Macaca mulatta: one gene and its partners. The protein of the gene in region 3 interacts with the protein of the main gene of each other region in a pairwise test. Links are inferred from orthologs where the notes say so. Each region holds a gene or a part of one and is shown on either strand. Other genes may lie near its edges. The genes, in order: RNF26, AMFR and UBE2W.

What was found.
Region 1: the proteins of UBE2W (region 3) and RNF26 interact in a two-hybrid assay, tested with the Homo sapiens proteins (2 studies listed by BioGRID and IntAct). The link is inferred for Macaca mulatta from reciprocal best matches to the Homo sapiens genes UBE2W and RNF26.
Region 2: the proteins of UBE2W (region 3) and AMFR interact in a two-hybrid assay, tested with the Homo sapiens proteins (2 studies listed by BioGRID and IntAct). The link is inferred for Macaca mulatta from reciprocal best matches to the Homo sapiens genes UBE2W and AMFR.

The regions. Positions count from the first base shown.
Region 1 is NC_133419.1:120,022,606-120,029,253, reverse strand, and holds RNF26 (E3 ubiquitin-protein ligase RNF26), read right to left. Parts: upstream 3,573-6,648; 5' UTR 2,972-3,572; coding exon 1,670-2,971; 3' UTR 776-1,669; downstream 1-775. UniProt on the Homo sapiens protein: E3 ubiquitin-protein ligase that plays a key role in endosome organization by retaining vesicles in the perinuclear cloud.
Region 2 is NC_133425.1:51,978,655-51,985,302, reverse strand, and holds the start of AMFR (E3 ubiquitin-protein ligase AMFR), read left to right. Parts: upstream 1-2,107; 5' UTR 2,108-2,328; coding exon 2,329-2,583; intron 2,584-2,666; exon of another isoform or gene 2,667-2,746; intron 2,747-6,648. UniProt on the Homo sapiens protein: E3 ubiquitin-protein ligase that mediates the polyubiquitination of lysine and cysteine residues on target proteins, such as CD3D, CYP3A4, CFTR, INSIG1, SOAT2/ACAT2 and APOB for proteasomal degradation.
Region 3 is NC_133413.1:84,448,902-84,455,549, forward strand, and holds the start of UBE2W (ubiquitin-conjugating enzyme E2 W), read right to left. Parts: upstream 4,287-6,648; coding exon 4,272-4,286; exon of another isoform or gene 3,002-4,271; intron 1-3,001. UniProt on the Homo sapiens protein: Accepts ubiquitin from the E1 complex and catalyzes its covalent attachment to other proteins.

The DNA of each region.
Region 1 (6,648 bases), on a different chromosome or scaffold from region 3:
CAAGGCTCCCCCACCGGGGGGGCCCACCTCCAACCCAATGACTAACAAACCAGGACTGCCCAGCCCCATCTGCACAGCCTCAACCCAAGGAAGGGGGGCCTCTCCTCAGAGTTCTTCCTGAGCTACCGGCGCCCCCTTCCTGAAGGCAGTCCCAGGCACTGTGGTCCCAGACAGAACATACAATTATGGGGGAGTGCCCCTGCTCTTCCGCTGGTCATGTGAGGGCAGATACGGCCAATGGGGACTGAGCCCAAATGTGAGCTAGAGACAGGCCTCAGGCAGCCTCCATCAGGAGGTCCCGCAGCCACACTCCAACCCAGCCCTGCACCAGACCCCATGCTAAGACACACAGGGACACACACCAGCTCCTCCTGGGATCCAGGCAGCAGGAACCCCATGCTCCCTCCCAGGAAGACTGGCCCGGGGAGGGGAGGGGCTGGGAAGGCTGACTCAAGCGGTGAGATGGTTCACATTCCTCTCTACAAGGGCTTAATTTGGGCAAAAATAGAAAAAATACAGAAGGCTTTTCGAAAGCCACGTGTGCAAGGGGACAAATCAGAAGGGATGACAGCTCACAGAGCCACGCCTGGCATGCACTCTCCCCATGACACAGTCTTCCCAGCCTATCTTAGCTCCTTCCCTGTCTCCCCCGCTAAAGCCCAGGTACTCCCACAGCCCACACTTCTGACTCCGGCAGGGCTGAAGGACCCTGATGCAGGGTCTGTTGCCTTGACCAACTGCTCCCTTGCAGGGACGCACAAGAGACTGTCAGAGCTGTCAAGATAACTTTATTCATAGGAAACTGGGCCAGAGACCCCTCAGGAAGCTGCAAGCCCCTGGGCCCTGGCCCCTTCTGTATTTGGACCCTAGTGAACTGTGCACAGTCTGCCCTCTCCAATGCCAGGGAGAGACAGAGAGGAATGCCATTTTTCTGTGTGATGTGGGAGTGAAAGGGGAATGAGTAGAAATCTGGTTATCCCTCCTGAGACTTGCAGTGAGTTGGGGTGCCAGAGAGCACATGGTCCCAAAGTCAGGTGCAGATGCATCCCCCATCCCAGGGGTAAACTCGTGAGCCCAGCTTTTGGATCAGGTTGGGAGGGAGCCTCATCAGACGATGACAGGCAGAGGTGGCTCTGAGGGTACCTGAGAGATACTAACCCCAAAGCCTACCAGGGCACAGGGGCTCTGGCTGAACACAAAGGTTCAAGATCATCCGAAGGCCCCTGAGTTGCCAAAACACCCAAATAACACTGATATGTTGTGGCCACAAAAGCTGGGGAGGAAATGTGAAGGAGGCAGGAAAAGGACCTACAGATCTCCAACAGAAAAACCACAAGCAGAGAGGGGTAACCCCAGAGGCAGCTGGGTGGGCCCTGGGCAAGCTGGAGGAGAGCCCACAGCAAACAGTCTCAAGGCCCTTGCATAGTGACATACTCACCACCCTCAGCATCGAAGGGACCCACTGGGTAAGGAGAAGCTATGTTATCCTGCCCCCACCCACATCATAGTCTTCCATCTCAATGTCCTGGATGTATGGCTTGGAGGCCTGGCAGGACAGCCACAGGGGTAGGAGGGATTCAGACCAGGACCCGGAGATGAGCTGTTAATGCTGTCCTAGCGTGAGTGCCTGCATGGAGCGTGGAGGGGTGGGCAGGTAGGGAAGGAGTCTTCAGAGGTAGACATTGAGGGTCTGCAGGATGCCCCGGCGGCACAGCGGGCAGTTGCGGTGGTAGACGGGGTGGCGCATCAAGATTTCAGTGCAGGCCTGGCACAGGCACAGATGCCTGCAGGGCAGGAGCAACACCGTCTTGCTCTGGTCCTGGCAGATGACACACTTCTTCCGCTCCTCTTGCTCCTTCAGCAACTTCCACGGGTCTTGCCCGCCTGGAGGCTCCTCATCGTTGAGCCTCTCTCGGCCCCTGGCAGGTGTCGCTCTGATGGTCCTGGCCTCCTCCTCTTCTGCCTCTGATCTGCGCCCCGCTTCAGGAAAAGTGTCCTGTCTCCGGGTCCTAACTGAGAACACCCTCATAGGGTCACCCTGGGGGGCTCCAGGTGCCCCTCCGCGGTTCGGCCAACTCGCCAGCTGCAGGCTGCGGCTCCAGACTCGGCGCCAGGCCTCTGAGCCCAGTGCTAGGCGAGAGAGCCTCATGACATCCTCTCGAAGACGGTGGTAGGATGGCCGGGCATGGAGCTGGCTGAGTGCCTGGGTAGCCAGTCTCAGGGTCAAGTCCGGATGCAACACAGTCACCGTCACTGCCAGCACGCAAGCCAGCAACACCAGGCCAGTGAGATTGACAAGCACAAAGCTGGCCAGGAGGCGGGCAGCTGAGGCCAGCAGCTCCAGGGCTAGTTGGCAGGGTGTCCAAAGGAGGATGGCCATGGCCACAGCACTGCTGGAAATGTGGGCTAGGAAGGCAGCCACTACATCCGTCATCCTCCACAGAGGCCCGGTCACTGTATCCCACAGGGCCAGCACCAGGGAAAAGAGGTTCTGAGTGCCGATGAGGCAGATGTTGACCAGGCTGTTGATCACATAAGCCACCAGGCTCATGGCAATGGCACAGATGTCACAGGCCTGGCGCAGCAAAGCATGGCCATTGGAGACCACACTGAGGACGCCCCGGTGCAGTATTTCCCTGCTCCGCAGTGCCCCGTGAGAGGCCAGGTGCCCCAGGAGCTTTAGGCTCTCCAGGCCAGAGCAGCAGCTATAGAGCAGGGTACACAAGGCCTGCAAGCCCCCACATGTGAACCGGACCACGGCTTCGATCAAGGCCAGCAATGAAAGCAGGACTCCGCGGCCCAAGTGCAGAAGACTAGTCAGTACCGTGTGCGGCAGGTTGTAGACGAAGGCCAGGAGCCAGGCCAGGGAAGCCAGGAGGGAGGACACCAGCAGGAAGTTGAGGTCCAACACCAAGGTCAGCACGTCCAGCACCAGGCCCACCCCATTCACTACCAGGTACACTGCCTCCATGATAGGGCTATGGAGGTTAGTCCAAAAGAAAGTCTGGCTCCTCGGTTGTGGGGTTGTCTAGGTTGTCAATATTTTAGGGGGTCTGGGATTAATTTGGAAGGAAAATGAGCAGTCTCCAACACAGGCGGTACCAAGAATCTGAGGAAGAAGTGGGTAAGAGGGAAGAGGAGTCTTGGTAGAGGGAAAGGGGGCCAGGTGCCAGTCCAAGAGTCCAGGTTTTGAAGATGGGCTGTTTGGGAGGGAAGAGCCCAAACATCTCCAAAGCGAAGGCGAGCCCAGGCCGTAGGAGCGACCTCAGCTTTGGATGCCTGGTGTGGCGAACCACGGCCGGGCAATGGGTCAGACCGGGAGGAGACGGGGAACAGATGGAATGGGATCGGATTGGATCGGATCGGGTCGGGTCGGGTCGGGCCGGGGCCGGGTGGGGTCGACGCAAGCTGGGCGCGGGCTCGCAGTCCAGCTACGCAGGTGCCCCTGTCCCCGCCCGGCCCCCGTCCTCCCGTTAGCGGCGCTTTGCACCCAAAAGGGGAGTGGGAGAGGCAACCAGCTTCAGCAAACCCCAAGCGCAGCCCCTATTCCGCTGGGCGCCGCCATCTTGTGTGCAAAGGGGTGGAGCCAGAGGGATGACGAGGAGGGAGGGACGACAAACTCCAGCCAATCGGTGAGGGCCAAGCGCAACAACGTCAATCACTCATTGGTCCGTTTGAATGGCGCACGAACGTATTTACTTTCCGAAGGGAAGGAGCGGCGACAGATTAAATCCCCTCCCCCTTGAGGCGGGGATTGGCTCGTTGACGGGCAGCGTCGGAATACGTTCTCCTAGCCCCGCCCTCTAAAAGAGCAAGGCCTTGGACTCCCCTTAATTTGGGAGCTGTTCTTTCTCCCGGCCTCCGAACGCGAGCTGTTTTTTTTGGTTTGAGTCCGAGGTCACTGCCTCTGGGCTGGGCTTTGGAATAGCACCTCCTTCGCAGCCTGTTCAGATCCGTCTCCTCATTCTCCTCTATTTATTCATCTATTCTATCATTTGTTGAGCTCCTACAGTGCATTGAGGATACAAAAAATTTTAAGACAGTGCCTGAGGTTCACAAGGGAAAGCGGATTATTACAGGAGATTCCCAAACTGCTACTCCAAACTTTCCGCACCAGGTTTTTCAACATCTTGGAAGATTACTTCATTGTCATTGAGAAAAGGTGGCTGCAGATTTCGAAACAGCTCAGCTTGCTACCCTGGGCCTTCCTACCCTAGAGTGCAGTGGCGCGATCTCGGCTTACTGCAACCTCTGCCTCCTGGGTTCAAGCGATTCTCTCCTGCTTCAGCCTCCCGGGTAGTACAGGCGCCCACCACCTCACCCGGCTAATTTTTGTATTTTTAGTAGAGACGGGGTTTCACCATGTTGGCCAGGCTGGCCTCCAGCTCCTGAACCTCGTGATCCAGGCGCCTCGGCCTCCCGAAGTGCTGAGATTACAGGCGTCAGCCACCAAGCCTGGCCCTGCCCTTTTCTTTAATACTCAAACAATAGTCAAAATATATTTGAAACCCCATCCCAAATATATTGGGAATCCTGGGATTTTCTACTAACTCCAAGGATACTTAGCGGACTCCTAGCGGACTTATCTTTCCCCTGGTTACCTTTGCTGAATTTCCTACTTGGGTTGAATTCTCCATCTCCACTCCTGGGCTCCTCAAATTGTCCATCCCCCTTCACTCTGCCCTGAACACTGCCTCGGAGTCCTTCATTCTCCAAAGCATCACTGATAAGAAGCTGAGGTGTGCAGCAAACCTTTACTGAGGCCGTGGGGTCGTGGTAGGGGCTACGCTACGGTGCAGAGGAAGGACTGCAGGCGCTGAAACTCCTCTGGCTTCTTCCTACCCTTTCTCTCTCGCTGCTCTCAGGCCCTGCCCAGGTTATGGTTTGTTGTGTTGTGATGTGTTGATGATGTTTTTATTTGCCCACTTGCATCCTCCTGCCAGTGTCAAATCTTGGAGAATGTGCCCACTTCCCTTTCAAGACACTTGATCCCATCACCCGTACCATCTCCTCTTCAGGGATCTTACTTGTCCAGTGAACACTGTGTTGTTATTAATCAATCTTCCTGCAGCACTTGACACCACTGACCACTTCCTGCCTCAGAGGCATTACCCTTTCCTATATTCTTTCTGTTTCCATCATAGCCTCCTCTCCTGTATACACAATAATTTCTAAATTTGTGTCTTCAGCCTGAACCTGTCCTGCAAAGTTCAGGCTCCAGCTGCTTCCTGGACATGAAGAGTTCCTGGGTATCCCACTGGTGCTTCCTACTCATTATGTCCAAAGTCAAACCTGGCAAACGTGCTGTGCCTGTACTATGTGCAATTAACTGGCCAGTTTTCCACACCAAGAAGCATGTAAAGGCCTTCTCAGAGTTGGCAGGATCCTCTAAGAGAGTATTTCCATTTGTTTAGGACCAAGACCTCCCCTTTGAGTGATCTGAGACTCACTAATGCAAAGCCATCTTTAATGAGCCACAACCCTTGACTCCCAGGAAACCTAGCAGGTAATCCTGCTTTGGGCAGGGACAAACACTCCAACTAGCTTTAGGGAGGAAGTTCAAATTGTTTGACAATGTTAGTCCCAGGGATTGAGAAGAAAATAAGCCAGATATTGAGAAAGCTGAACACCTTGAAGCTCTATCCTTGCAGTATTTTCTAATGGAAGATGCAGTGTAAAGCCCTCTGGAAGCCTGCTCTGGCGGCAGTTGATTTCTGCTGTTGTGCTAACTTCAGGGTTTGTTTTGTTTTGTTTTGTTTTGCTCAGCGTAAGATTCTAGCTGGGACAATAGAAGGGATTTTCAGAGACTATGAGGATTGAGGATTAAGAGATTGGAAAAACCAGAAAAGAATGTCTAATTCAGGGCTTTTGTTTTGTGCTATTGTGTGTATTATGGCCCTCCCCATCGTCTCCTCATCAATCATTCAGTAAAATCTATATTATTGCCATGGTTTTAGGTTGGTCTTTTATATTTTCTTTTTTAATTATGCAAATCATTTACAGAGTCCCAAAGTCAAAACTTTATAAAAAGATATAGTCACAGAAGGTTTGCTTTCATCCTTGTACTCTCTTTCTTTTTTTTTTTTTTTTTTTTTTTTTTTTTTGAGACGGAGTCTCGCTCTGTTGCCCAGGCTGGAGTGCAGTGGGGCGATCTCAGCTCACTGCAAGCTCCGCCTCCCGGGTTTACGCCATTCTCCTACCTCAGCCTCCCGAGTAGCTGGGACTACAGGCGTCCGCCACCTCGCCCGGCTAGTTTTTTGTATTATTTTTAGTAGAGACGGGGTTTCACCGTGTTAGCCAGGATGGTCTCGATCTCCTGACCTCGTGATCCACCCGTCTCGGCCTCCCAAAGTGCTGGGATTACAGGCTTGAGCCACCGCGCCCGGCCTCATCCTTGTACTCTCTACCCTGTTCCCTCCCAGTGCCATCCAAGCTTCAGAGGACCCCAAGTATTACAAACATAGCCAAAAATGTCTCCATAAAGGAGCACCTGGGGTCCTCTGTCAGTCAGGATCCAGTGTTCGTTACTGGTATGGAAAAGCCTATAACCCCAAACATCAGCTCTGCAAACAACACGGTTCAGGGCCGAAGAAGCTCTTCAGCAATTCTGCACATCTTTTTTTTTTTTTTTTTTTTTTTTTTTTTTTG
Region 2 (6,648 bases), on a different chromosome or scaffold from region 3:
ACCGTTTACATTCTTTAAAAATGCAAACAAAAAATAAGCTTTTATAGTTGGGTTAACTTCCCCTGTTCATGTGAAGTTTCAGAAAGTCCAAGCTTCTAAAAGTTTAATAAGGGCAGATCTATTAAGAGCAGCCTGTTTGTAAGGGTGACAGGACAAATTTGGTTTGTGATAGTTTAGAACTACTGTGGCTAGGATTGAATAAAGATTACCAGTTAGTGGTTTAAAAGTTATGATGGCCCAGATCTTGACCTGTAAAGTAGAACACTTCCCTGAAAATTACAATATTTTTTCAAAATAAAGTTTTCCTTTGTTTTACTGATAAAGTTTAAAGTGTAGCATTTTAATTGCATGGCTGTGGGAAAAAAACCAAAGTGAACTCAAGTCTAGTATTCATATAGACCTTGTTTTAAAAAAATGCACGTGTACAAAGGTAAGACCTCTCCTTGTCCCGGTAAAACTAAACGTTCATCAAAGACCCTTTAACAAGATGTTTCTAAAATTTCCAAAGTGGAATGGTAAGCCTGAGAGATCTTTTGTTTTATAGTTAATAGACTTTTAGAATATTAGGCATGAAGAAAGACTTTGAAAGATAATTTGGTCCTTTTCTTTAGAAAGTTTGGAAAATCCTACAAATATTTACAGAGCACCTACTCTGGGCTGGGAAGTATTACAGGCCTTGGGGATGCAAAAGGAATAAAACTCCCAAGGTAACATTTTTTTCCCTTTGGTAACAGCTTATTGAGATACAATTCACATATTGAGATAGAACTATTTAAAGTGTACAATTCAATGATTTTTCAGAGTTGTGCAATCATCACCTCAATTTTACATTTTCATCACTTTGAAAACAAACCTGTCCCAGCCAGTGACTCACGCCTGTAATCCCTGCACTTTCCGAAGCCGCGGTGGGAGGATCACTTGGGCTCAGGAGCCACAGACAGGTCTGGACAATATAGCAAGACGCTGTCTCTACCAAAAATTAAGGATTAGCCACGTGTGGTGGCATATGCCTATAATCCCATCTACTGGAGAGACTGAAGCAGGAAGATTTCTTGAGCCCAGAAGGTGGAGGATGCAGTGAGCCATGCTCCTGCCACTGTACGTACTCCAGCCTGGGCCACAGACCCTGTCTCTTAAAAGAAACCTGTGCCCTTTATCACCCCCTACCTTCCCTCTTCCTCCCATCCCTAAGCAACCATTAATCAACTTTCTGGGTCTGTATATGTACTTGCCTATTGTGGACATTTCATATCAATGGAATCACACAACACGTGGACCTTTGTGGCTGTCTTCTTTGACTTAGCACGTGTTTAAGGTTCATCCCTATTGTAGCATGTATCAGTAGTTCATTTTTATGACCGAATAGTACATTGTATGGATATATCACATTTATCTACTCATCACTTGATGGACATTAGCGTTGTTTCCATCTTTTGGTTGTTAGAATGGTATCAACATTTGTGTACAAGTTTTGTGTGGAGGTATGTTTCCACTTTTCTTAGAGGACTGGAATTACTGGGTCAAATGGTCACTCTTGTTTGACTTTAAGGAAAGGGCAGATTATTTTCCAAGACAGCCGCACCATTTGACATTCTCACTTCTGGTGTATGAGGGAACACATTTTTATTTCCCGCTAAATCAGGTTCATTTTTTAGTTTCTGCTGGAGGCTACTAGTAAACAGCAGAAACTTGAAAGACTGTTAATATTTTTTCTTCTGGGGTTTTGGGCACCAGGGAAGCTGCTCGGCCCCTAGGAGTGCTTGGGGGTAACTAGCTTCAGAGGGTTAATGGTGGGGGTTAAGTGGGCAGCGGCCTGGTGGCCAGGGTCCCCCGCGCCCTGAGGCCCGGCCCGCCCGTCAGCGCCTGCGGGCCCGAGTGACGCCCGCGCCGCGGCCGGAGCAGGTGCCCTCTGTGTCCGTGGGCCCAGCCGAGCCGTGGTGCGGGCAGCGGATGATGCTGGGTGCCGGCCCCCGGGGCCTGAGGCCTGGGCCTACGCCCGCTAGGCGGCGGCGCGACCGCTGGGGGCGGGGGACGAAGGCCGCGCCCCTGCGCCCGTCCCGCCCGCGTCCCGCTGGGGGCGGTGGCCTGCCCGGAGCCCGCCGAGGCTCTTCCGCGCCGGCAGGGGCAGCAGCGGGAGCAGCGCGGGGCGGAGCGGCGCCAGCAGCCAGGAGCGGCCCGGCCCGGCCCGGCGTGGCGGCAGCGGCGGCGGCGGCAGCGGCAGCGGCAGCGACAGCGACGCCAGAGCCCGTGGGCGCCGTTCGCGAGACCGCGGCAGGGGCCCGGCCGCAGCGCGGGGAGGCCCGGAGACCGGAGGTCGCCGCTGCCGCCATGCCGCTGCTCTTCCTCGAGCGCTTCCCCTGGCCCAGCCTCCGCACCTACACGGGCCTCAGCGGCCTGGCCCTGCTGGGCACCATAATCAGCGCCTACCGCGCGCTCAGCCAGCCTGAGGTCGGCCCGGGCGAGCCGGACCAGCTAACGGCCTCGCTGCAACCCGAGCCGCCGGCGCCCGCCCGGCCGAGCGCGGGGGGACCACGGGCCCGCGACGTGGCCCAGTACCTGCTCTCAGATAGCCTCTTCGTGTGGGTGAGCGAGGCGACCGGGCCCGCGGGGCAGGGACGGGGTCCGCTGCGTCACCCTTTATCCGCGGGGGGCGTGGTGGGCCAAGGGGCCCCTGCGCCAGGGACCCCGGAGGGCAAGCGCCTGGGGGGCGCGGCCTTGCCTGCGGGAGCGCTGCCTAGGTAGAGTGGTGAGGCGCTGGGGGGCAGCGGGGGGGAACCGCGGGCGGGAGGAACATCATGTGGAGTTGCGAGGAGGAGGCCCCGAGGGGCAGGGCAGCGTTGGGGGCTCCGGGAAGGGAGTCGGGGAGGCGGCGGGCGAGGGTCTGCGTGGGGGTGCGGACGGGGCCCAGGGCAGGAGAAGGGGTTAAAGGGCAGTGGGGAGGAAGGGGCTGGGGACCCTCGGGAGAAACTAGACTAAGATCTCAGAGGGCAGGTTCAAGGGGAGGTCGGGATCTGGGAGTGCGTTATCCCTAGGGTTGGACAAAGTAGAGGGAAGTTGAAAGCTTTTCCCACTTGGTCAAGCATGGGATTGTTGTTAGCGGGTTTTCTTCCGACGAAAAGGAGAGGGCAGAGGGGAGAATTCAGACGTTGAGTATGGGGGAATTTTCAGCACTTGGATGTCTTTGGACATTCCAGTTGGAGAGAGGCGTCTCCTACAACTTTTTTGCCGGTTAGTATTCGATTGTCCCCTTTGGGAGCTGTTTAATGAAACAAACACCAGGCAAACTGTGCTTCCTTTTCTGCTGCCTTTACCTGATGATTCATGACAGTTTTCCTTTGATGTATGAACACAGCAAAACATTCGCAGTGTCAAGAGGCAGCCCATCATGTTAACTGAATGTTTCTTATTTGAGGATCTATTCTAACGCAGTTTCCAGGTTGTCTGCCCCCGCGAGATAAGCAGCATTGATAAGGCACACATGCTGGTTTCCTTCATTAGAATAGATAATTTCAGACTGAGCAGATCAATGATATTTTGGCTACAGAATTTTGCTTTCACCTTGGCCTTGAATACTTACGTAAATCCCACAGTGATCAGAAAAGTTTCTCCAGGATTTAAAGTCTCACTTGGATTTAATATGGCTTCTTGGATTTTGTCTCCTTCCAAGTTCCCATTTGGGGTTGAAAGTAGGCTGTAAATGACTGAGAGATTAATATTCCAAGTTGACAGGATGATATGCAACTCATTTGTTATAATTAGTCCCACTGTGCTTCATCAGGAAGCGGTGGGATTTATGGACTCTGTGGGCTGTGGATTAAGTCTCCTGGTCCTTCTGATGGAGAGTTCAGTAGAAGGCAGTGAAGGGTGAAGTTCCTGTTTGTCTACTGCTGTGTAAAACTGAACTTTACAGACCCAAAGAAGGGAGAAGAGAAAGAACTCACCCACATCTCTTGCTTAATTTCAAATCTGATTTTGCATTTGAGTTGCAGGTAAACAACTTAAAGTGATATAGAGAGTGTTTTTGCCATATGTTAAGATTATAATGTAGTCTTTGATATTTTTTAAGTCTGAGATATAAATAAGCCTTTGAGAAGGAACCCTTATTTTATTTATATAACAACCTTGGCATTATTTAATGGATTTTCCCCCGCAGGACTTTCTTTTGATAAAAGCCATGTTCAGATTCTAAGGTTAATACCTCTTCAGAAAACATTACATAAAAGGCTGTTGATTTTTCTGTGATGATGATTACTTTTTAGGAAATTTCCTTTTCTTCCAGCATTTTCAGTAGAGGTCTTACCTCTGGCAAGTTTATCACTTCTTACTCTCTGCTGATGATATTTTCATTTCTCAGTTGATCCTAGTGCTGTTTTTCCTCCATCTTTCCTCTGGGTGTTTATTTCCACGTGTTTATTTTGGCCTGCTTTGGTTTCTCAGAGCCTCCATGTGCTCACTGTGAGTTTGTCTCATCACTCAGTGTTTATGTAGTTTCTGCTTTAGCAGCTGAGTAGAAGTGACAATCTCAAAAGCCTTCCCCAGTGGTGGGACAGATAAGATTGTTGAGTGAATACCCTATGTGGTGGTGCCTTTGTCAACTGGATCCTCCCCTAGTTCTGTTGAATTCGGATTCAACTTTTTCACAAACACTGCCTGCCAAGGCCAAGTAAGACAAAACAAAGACTGATCCTTCTGCCAGTGCAAGTCCTGCTAGATATTGTTTAACATATTGCAGTTCCTAAAACTTATCTTTGTGGAGCACAGTTTAGAATAATATCGGTCTGATAGCATCACAGGAGGTTTTTCATGAACAAACTCAATTTAAAACCTTTTGAAGGTGTTATTTTGGGCACTCTGGAGGGCATATCTGTGAACAACACTTTCCCCTACCCTCAGTAATATGGCACAATTTTACAGGTGATAATAGATAAATAAAATGCAGCAGAGTTTGGAGGAAAAAGAAAGGAATTGTGCCTAGGGAAGGGTTCGTGGAAGGTGGTGTTTGAACCATCTTGGAAGGTGGGAAGGGTCTCAACCAGCAGCAATGGGTATTCCAGATAAAGAAACCAGCATGTGGAGCTCGGTCTGGCTGGGGGAGGACAGTGCTGGGCACAGGCAGGGTGGTCTGGAAGCTGGGCTGTTAAATAAAAAATCTGTTGAATCTTCTGGTTTAAGAGGGAGGTTGAGAAGGTGAAGAGGAGACTGGGGGGTGAAGGAGGTGGGGCAGGTGCCTCTGCTGTGAGAGGAGGAGGTGAGCAACCCCTTTGAAGGTTTCTTTCTCAAAGTGTGGACCTCTGGCAGCCTGGTATGTGGTCATCTGGGGTACTTGTAAAGTGTAGTTTCCCTGGGGATCCATTTCAGAGAGAAGGGTGGAGCCTTGGAATCTTCATTTTAATGAATGCCCTAGGTGATCTGAGGGACACTAGTGGTTGAAAAACTAACCTAGGAAGAGGCTGGAGTATGGTGTCATGTAACCTTGACCTTGCTTGCTCTACCAAGTGTGGACAGTATTGGGGCTTAAGTGGGGGTGGGGCATGGAGGAATAGGGGTGCTGTCATGATTTCTTTCAGAAGATAGTCTGGGAGCAGTGTGGAAGATAGAGTTATGTAGAGTGGGAAGAGGACGGGAGATCTAGTGACCTATAACTTCCTCCTCCCAAGGGGGCCTCTCCAGGTGGCCCTCATACATGACATTGAGAACGGATTTGGGAGGAGGCTTCTGGGTTTTTACACTAACAGATATGTGGGTTTGACCTGACCTTTTGTTTCCCCTTGTCTTTCTAAAACTTCCACCCTAAAGTTTGATTTCAGATGAGTTTTTATTTTGTTACTCATTTCTGGGCTATTTTACATTGCTCAGATAATGCTTCTATTCAGCTCCCTCTTGGTCCCTTCTAGCATGGTTTTGGATTGTTCAGGTGTTTTGGCTTTTTCATTTTTTAATTCTTACTCATTACTTTTATTAGTTCCCTTTTCTGCTTTCTTAAATATCTGCTTCTAAAATTCTAAGAGCAAGATATGCAAATGGAGAGATAGAAATATGAAACTAGTGTCAAGGTTCTGATTAATTGTGCAAATAATATCATTTAAATAGAACTCTCAAAGGGAAAAATAACTACAAATAAAAGTGGATAAAAGTGAATTGACCATTTAGAACAGGGATTGGCAAACTCGCGGCCTATTTGACTAGGCCTATTTTTGTCTTAACAGCTAAGAATGTTTTTTATATTTTTAAAGGGTTGTAAAACAAATTAAATAAATTAAGGAAGTTCCAGAGCCTAAAATATTCACTGTCTGAGAGTACGTTAGAGAAAAATTGGCTGACTCCTATTTTAAAGAGCCTATTTTCATATTATTATAACACTTAAGGGCTGGGTTCAGTGGCTGACACCAGCAGTCTCAGCAGTTTGGGAGGTGGAGGCTGAGGCAGGAGGTGGGGGGATTGCTTGAGGTCAGGAGTTGCCCAGGAGCTGCCCAGGAGTCTGGGCAACATAGTGAGATCCCCTGCTCTACAAGAAAAAAAAAAAACAAAAGAGCTGAAAGTGACTTCCTAGGTATGAGTCTCTATGAGTTGACTATTTCAAGGTATATGAGGAAAAAATGTTAGCTCCAGAAGTGTTGGGGCAGCTGAAGGAAAAAACACTAAACTTGT
Region 3 (6,648 bases):
AGGCAGGAGAATGCGGTGAACCTGGGAGGCGGAGCTTGCAGTGAGCCAAGATCGTGCCACTGCACTCCAGCCTGGGCGACAGAGCGAGACTCCGTCTCGAAAAAAAAAAAAGATTTTTAGAATTACCAAAATTAAATGTAGATCTGTTTAACTCCTGTCAATTTTAGGTATCACCACAAATACAACATCCTCTTAAGAATGATTTCTTAAGGCTGGGCACATTGGCTCACGCTTGTAATCCCAGGATTTGGGGAGGCCGAGGCAGGTGACTGCTTGAGTGCAGGAGTTCCAGACCAGCCTGGGCAACACGGTGAAACCTGTCTCTACAAAACACAAAAACCCGTAGTCACAGCTACTCAGGAGGCTGAGATGGAAGGATCACTTAAGCCCAGGGAGGTTGAAACTGCAGCACGCTGAGACTGCGCCACTGCACTCCAGTCTGGGTGACACAGTGAGACCGTCTCCAAAAAAGACAAGGTTTTTTAAAATGTAATTTAACTGTAATCTTACTTAGTGATACATTACTTTTTTCTAGGAAGAAACAATAGGAAGGAAAAGAAAAAAAGAAAACGAGTAAAGAATGCCTCAAAGGGATCACGTAAGTCTGAAAACCACTATCTTGAATTGTATATGGCAGAACTCTAGCAATTTTAGGGAGCAGAGCATCTCCAGCATTTACAGGTGTGCCAGGATATTGATCTCCCATCCCAGGAGTTTCATGAGGAGCTGCTGCCAGGTGCTTCTAGCCTCCCAATCTCATCATCTACTTTAGTGTACGATTCGAAACTTACTTTCTATGTGGACAGAACCTAAAAGATGGTTGAGACGCACTGACAGAATACATTAAAGCAGTTACTAGCTCAACTTTAAATACATACTCTCCAAAAGAAATTCAAAGTCTTACTTGTTTTACTGCATTGATCCTAAAGACTATTTAATTTTTATCAGGTAATGAAATCCCATGTTACATGTGTATAACATGGCATAAAAAAAAATACAGTTCCTCTTACAGCTTAAGTAACTTCTTCAGCAGCAGCAACACCTGGTGTGGGTAAGATAAAGAAATCTACTAAAAGCTTTTTGAGTAAGGACATGGTCATTCCATGTTACAGTTTATTTTTTCCTAATCGAAATCCCCAAATGATCAATTTCCTAGCCTTCCATGTTTTTTCTCCACTGCACTATCACCTTCTAATATAGTAACACACTTGGCCAGGTGCAGTGGCTCCCACCTGTAATCCTAGCACTTTGGGAGGCCGAAGCGAGAGGATCACTTGAGGTCAGGAGTTCAAGACCAGCCTGGCCAGCATAGCGAAACCCAGTCTCCACGAAAAACACAAAAAAATTACCTGGTCGTGGTGGCCAGCACCCGTAATCCCAGCTACTCAGGAGGCTAAGTAGGAGAATTGCTAGAACCCTGGGAGCAGAGGTTGCAGCGAGCCGTGATTGCACCACTACACTCCAGAATGGGCGACACAGTGAGACTCCATCTCAACACAAAAAACAAAAAACAATTAACTTAAATATGCTGTTATTATCTGTCTCTTCTTACCAGACTATTTATTATTAAATCCATGAGGGCAAAAATCTTGTTCGCTTTTGTTCATTGCTATAACCGCGGCACCTAGATAAGTGTCTGACACACAGAGGGCCCCCAAAAGGTAACTGGCTCAGTGATTAAACAAATTTGATAATTTGATTGAAGATTTATGTATAATCTAGTTGTCTTAAAAGAGCCAGATGTTGCCATTAAGATAGGATATAAATTCTGTACAACAAAGATACAGAATAACCACACAGAAAGTAGGGCTGTCTTTCAAAAAGCCTGACTTATACATATTTAAATATTCTTAAAGATACTACCAGAAAATCTGCACTAGATATTTTAAAATACAAACAAAAGGAAAAGACTTTTTACTTTAATAAAAAGAGTTAAGCATCCATTTTCCATTCCTCTAACCAGAAAACACAGAAGAATAGAGAGTGATAAGATTTAGATGGAATAAGGTGAAGGAAAAACTTCAAAGAGTGGTAAGACAGTCTGAGGTAATACTTAGGGCACAGAAAAATGCACTATTGCACTATCAATCAAGTATTTGTTTCCATTGCTTAAGACATCATGTAGGCCGGGCACGGTGGCTCACACCTGTAATCCCAGCACTTTGGGAGGCTGAAGTGGGCGGATCACCTGAGGTCGGGGGTTCAAGTCCAGCTTGACCAACATGGAGAAACTCCTGTCTCTACTAAAAATACAAAATTAGCTGGGCGTGATGGCCAATGCCTGTAATCCCAGCCACTCGGGAGGCTGAGGCAGGAGAATCACTTGAACCCGGGAGGCGGAGGCTGCGGTGAGCCGAGATCGCCCCCACTGCACTCCAGCCTGGACAACAAGAGCTAAACTCCGTCTCAAAAAAAAAAAAAAAAAAAAAAAAAAAAAGACACCATGTAAAGTTCAACATTACCAACCTTTCTCTTACAAACAAATCTGCCTTTTCCAGATACTAAATCTAACCAGATGGCACACTACGTTCTCTTGTCAAATATTATCACGAGTGTTGTGGATTTTAATCTTAATTTTTACTCTCAAATAATGTTTTAATCTTAATACAGATAATCTTAAACTTGTCATAAAAAATGTTTTAATCTTAACACAGATAAAAATCTTTAAGTGGTCATGTAGCCTATTGCATCTACTGTTCAACTAGCATTCCACAGTTCCTTTTCTTGGCCTCAAATGACGAAACTTCTCTAACGTCTCTGGGGGACTAGTGTAAAGTATAATGTTTCCTGAAATTGTTCCTGTTTTTTTCCCTGCACCATTCGTGACATCTCTTCAACTAGAAATGTTACATAAAACTTTTCTGTTCTGCAGGCAAGTCCAGAGGGAGAAGCAAAAGTAAAGAGAATATTGTAAGGAAAACAGGTTGAAAGGGGAATAACATAAAAGCACAGGAGTAAATGTGAAGCAAAGATATATTTGTACAAAAGAGGAAGAAGTTGCAGAAAAGGGAAGAAAAACACTTTTAGCAGAGAAAAGAAAAAAAAATGGAGGAGGAACAGAGACTTGCTTCTTTCAGAAACAAAAGCAAAAAACACTTCTAAGAAAACGTGGTCTCTTTACCCAAGGGGATATTATTAAAACGCTAAAGAGTATTCAGCTGACACTCCTATTGAGTGTTCTACTTTCTCTTCCAATGTCTTTGATACCGCTAGTCTTCACCTATGAATTAAATGCAGGCTATAGATAACGCAGCCAATCTCTACAAAACTACAATTGTGGTTGCCATCTTTGCCTGAAAACAAAAACACAAAAAACCCGCAACTCCCTGAATTCGGGAAAAAGGAGTAAATTAAGTTGGAAAGCCAGAAAACCACGCCTTGCTAAGTCGGGTGGATGTGGCACAGGTTAACAAACGCCTCCTACCAAACTAAGGTTCCACTAAAGGTCTGCGAATAAGGGCAAAGAGATGTATAGCCTTATCGCGACCGCAAGGGTGGGGCCTTGTAGGGGGAAACAAAATAAAGGGCGAGCTATCCCGAAAGGTTTCAGGGGGCTGAGGACTTGGCTCTCGGGAGATCGCCCATCAGGCAGTGGACTCGGGGCAGCTTCGAGAGGAGGAGACACTGGACTGCTGAAGTAATGTCCGCGAGAATGCCGAGGCTGATGGAAAGAGCGGATACCCACGGGCACAGGATTAAGAGTCAAAGGGAAGAAGAGAGAGACGGGGCCAAGCAGTCTGGGGGGCCCGGCGTGGGAGGCCGGAGCAGAGGCCGCTAAGCGCCGTCCGCAGCCAGTCGCCTTCTCCGGAGACGCCTTCTCGGCTCCCCCACACTCAGCCCCTCGCCGCCCCTGCCCCGGCAACAACCGCGGGCGCAGCTGTTTCCGTCGGGCCAGGGACAGCGGGGGTAAAGGCAACCCTGGGACTGGCGGGCAGCAGACTGGCAGTGGCCGTGTGTGTGTGTGTGTGTGCGCGGGGAGCCGATTCTGAGGCTGCCAACACCAGACTTCGCCCTTTCTCCCCCAAGCCTCCTTTATCACCCAACTTCCCGGCCGGCTGGTGTCCGCTTCGACCGACGGATACCGCACCCCCCCAACGCCTCTCGCCGCCTCTTACCCCTCCCCCGACGCCCTGAGCTGAAGGAAAACAAGCCACCCGGGCCGATCCCGAACCCGCCCGGGTGTCCCCGAATCGCGGACGCCACCCCCGCCCGAACGCTGGCACTCTCTCGGCGGCTCCCTGGCCCGCCCAGATGCAGCAAACTCCTCTCACCTGCATTGACGCCATGATGGAACCATCCCCCCAAGACCGGCGAGGCCAGAGACGCAGGGGGAGGAGCTGCCGTGCTCGCGTCACGCCGCGGGGGCTCAACATCCCGGGCGCGGAGGCGGGGCCTACGATGGGAAGGTGATGGCGCGAGGGGATTGGCTGGCGCGCAGGGCGGACGGGAGGAGGGGCTAGGGGGCGGGGCGAGGACGTGGTAAATGGCGCTCCGAGTACCTTCGGTCTCAGTCCGGTTCGCCGCTCCCGCGTCGGTCTTCCGTTTACTCTGGTTACTGAGGAGACACGGCTCCAGTTTTGACCCGGCTACGGTTGTTTTCTTCTTGTGTACCGCGTAATCCTGATGCCGTCCGGATCAGCTCAGATTTTTTTCTATTTCGTTTTGGTTTTCCAAACACAGCTGTGCGGTTCACAGATTTTTCTCTTGGGATGTGTTTTCCATACCGTCAAGCCCACTCTGAGAGCCTTGGGGCCCCATGAAACTTCCCGCGCAGCTGCTTTCTGGTCCTTGTAGACCTGGAAAGCTTCTTGTATTCTTAATCTGGGGAAGAGAGACATAGGTTTCCTTGTACAACAGGATGAGGATTAAAGAGCAAAACGACACTGATATTTTAAAGGCGAGGGTATTTAGATTTGTGGAGCTGAAACTTGCCTGAAAGGGGAGAGAAAATTTGGAAGTTTGTTGTGTACAGTTTCTGCCCCTTACCCCAGCCCTTCAGTTTTAAACTTCGCATGTATCAACAGTAGTTACGGTTGTTGCGGCAGTCTAAATTTGATTATCAGAATTGACCCTAGGCATGAATTTTTTAAAATATACTGAATTTTTAAAAATATACCAGTGTTGTGTTATATACACTTAGACCATTATGTCCAGACTTCTCTTAAGCCTATTTCGTGGTGGGCAGTTTTGTGGTCAGTTAGGGATGAACTTGGGTAGGGAAAGCTGAGCATACATAATTTATTTTAGGAATGCACCAGTTCTGCCAACATTTATCAGAAGTCACGTTTTAAAAAAGCTATTCTGGAACTGAAGATGTCATTGGTTTATAAGAGGAAAATGGAAGCCAAAAGCTTGCACCTCATGCTCTATCTTTAAAAATTAAGGTGGCAGACACAATGAGTAGAAGGCTTTTATGTTACCAGAATGAAGGCTTAAAATCTGTCATTTTATTGACTCGGCTTTCTTTTTAGAAATTTCTTTAAGATATAAAAGCAATGCAGAATATCACTGTTTCACACTCTTAAAATAGATTACGTTCTCTGGAACTTCTCTAATCTGAAATGTGTTCAAAAAGGAAAAAGATCTTTAAAATACGCCAGTTAGTCTATGGCATAATATTAAACACTACTCATCACTAGAGAAGTTACGGTGGTATACCCTCCCCTCTCTCAGATGTCCACCCTAATGCCAGAAATGAGCGGAGTTTCCCTTTGTTGTGCAAAATGACTGTGTCCTTGAGGGATGTTTGGATGCTCTTGGTAAACCGGAATCAACCAGAAGCATATCCGGTGTTAGCCCTGTTGTGTCATCAACATTACAACAGTGAGGAAACCCACGTATCCCAATGAAGGAGGAAAACTTAAAGAAGTTTCCAGTATATTTTCTTTGAGATGTCTTTATTTCTGTGACCTCAGAAGATCAGGTTTTACTGTCCAAGGTTCACTTTGCCTAAAAGCTGATTGTTCCTATGGAAAAAGTAGTGTCGGATGACCCTACAAACAAAGCATTATGACATCGTCAGAGCCAACAACCTACCATGACAGATACTAATGAGGAAAAAAGAGGTTACAAGAATTCTGACACTCATCACAGTGGAACCAGTATCTGGTCCCTTGGGTTTCATATATGTTAGAAGTATCTTCACAGGAGGGAAAGGTCAATGCCAGTAATCCTTTCTAGGTAATACTAAATAGCACATAATAACCTGTCTTCTTTTTTTTTTTTTTTTTTGAGACGGAGTCTCACTCTGTCACCCAGGCTGGAGTGCAATGGCGCGATCTTGGCTCACTGCAACCTCCGCCTCCCAGGTTCAAGTGATTCTCCTCTCTCAGCCTCCCAAGTAGGTGGGATTACAGGTACACACCACCATGCCCAGCTAATTTTTTGTAATTTTTTGTATCTTTAGTAGAGATGAGGTTTCACCATGTTGGCCAGCCTGGTCTTGAACTTCTGACCTCGTAATCCACCTGCCTCAGCCTCCCAAAGGGCTGGGATTACAGGTGTGAACCACTGCGCCCAGCCATTCTTTTGTTAATATTTAATAAAAAGATCCTGACATAGGAGCCAAAACAGTGACTTACAGATGGTGTGGGGGGTATGTAATTATCTCCAGTGAGCATATAATGTTAATATCTAAAACACTATTAT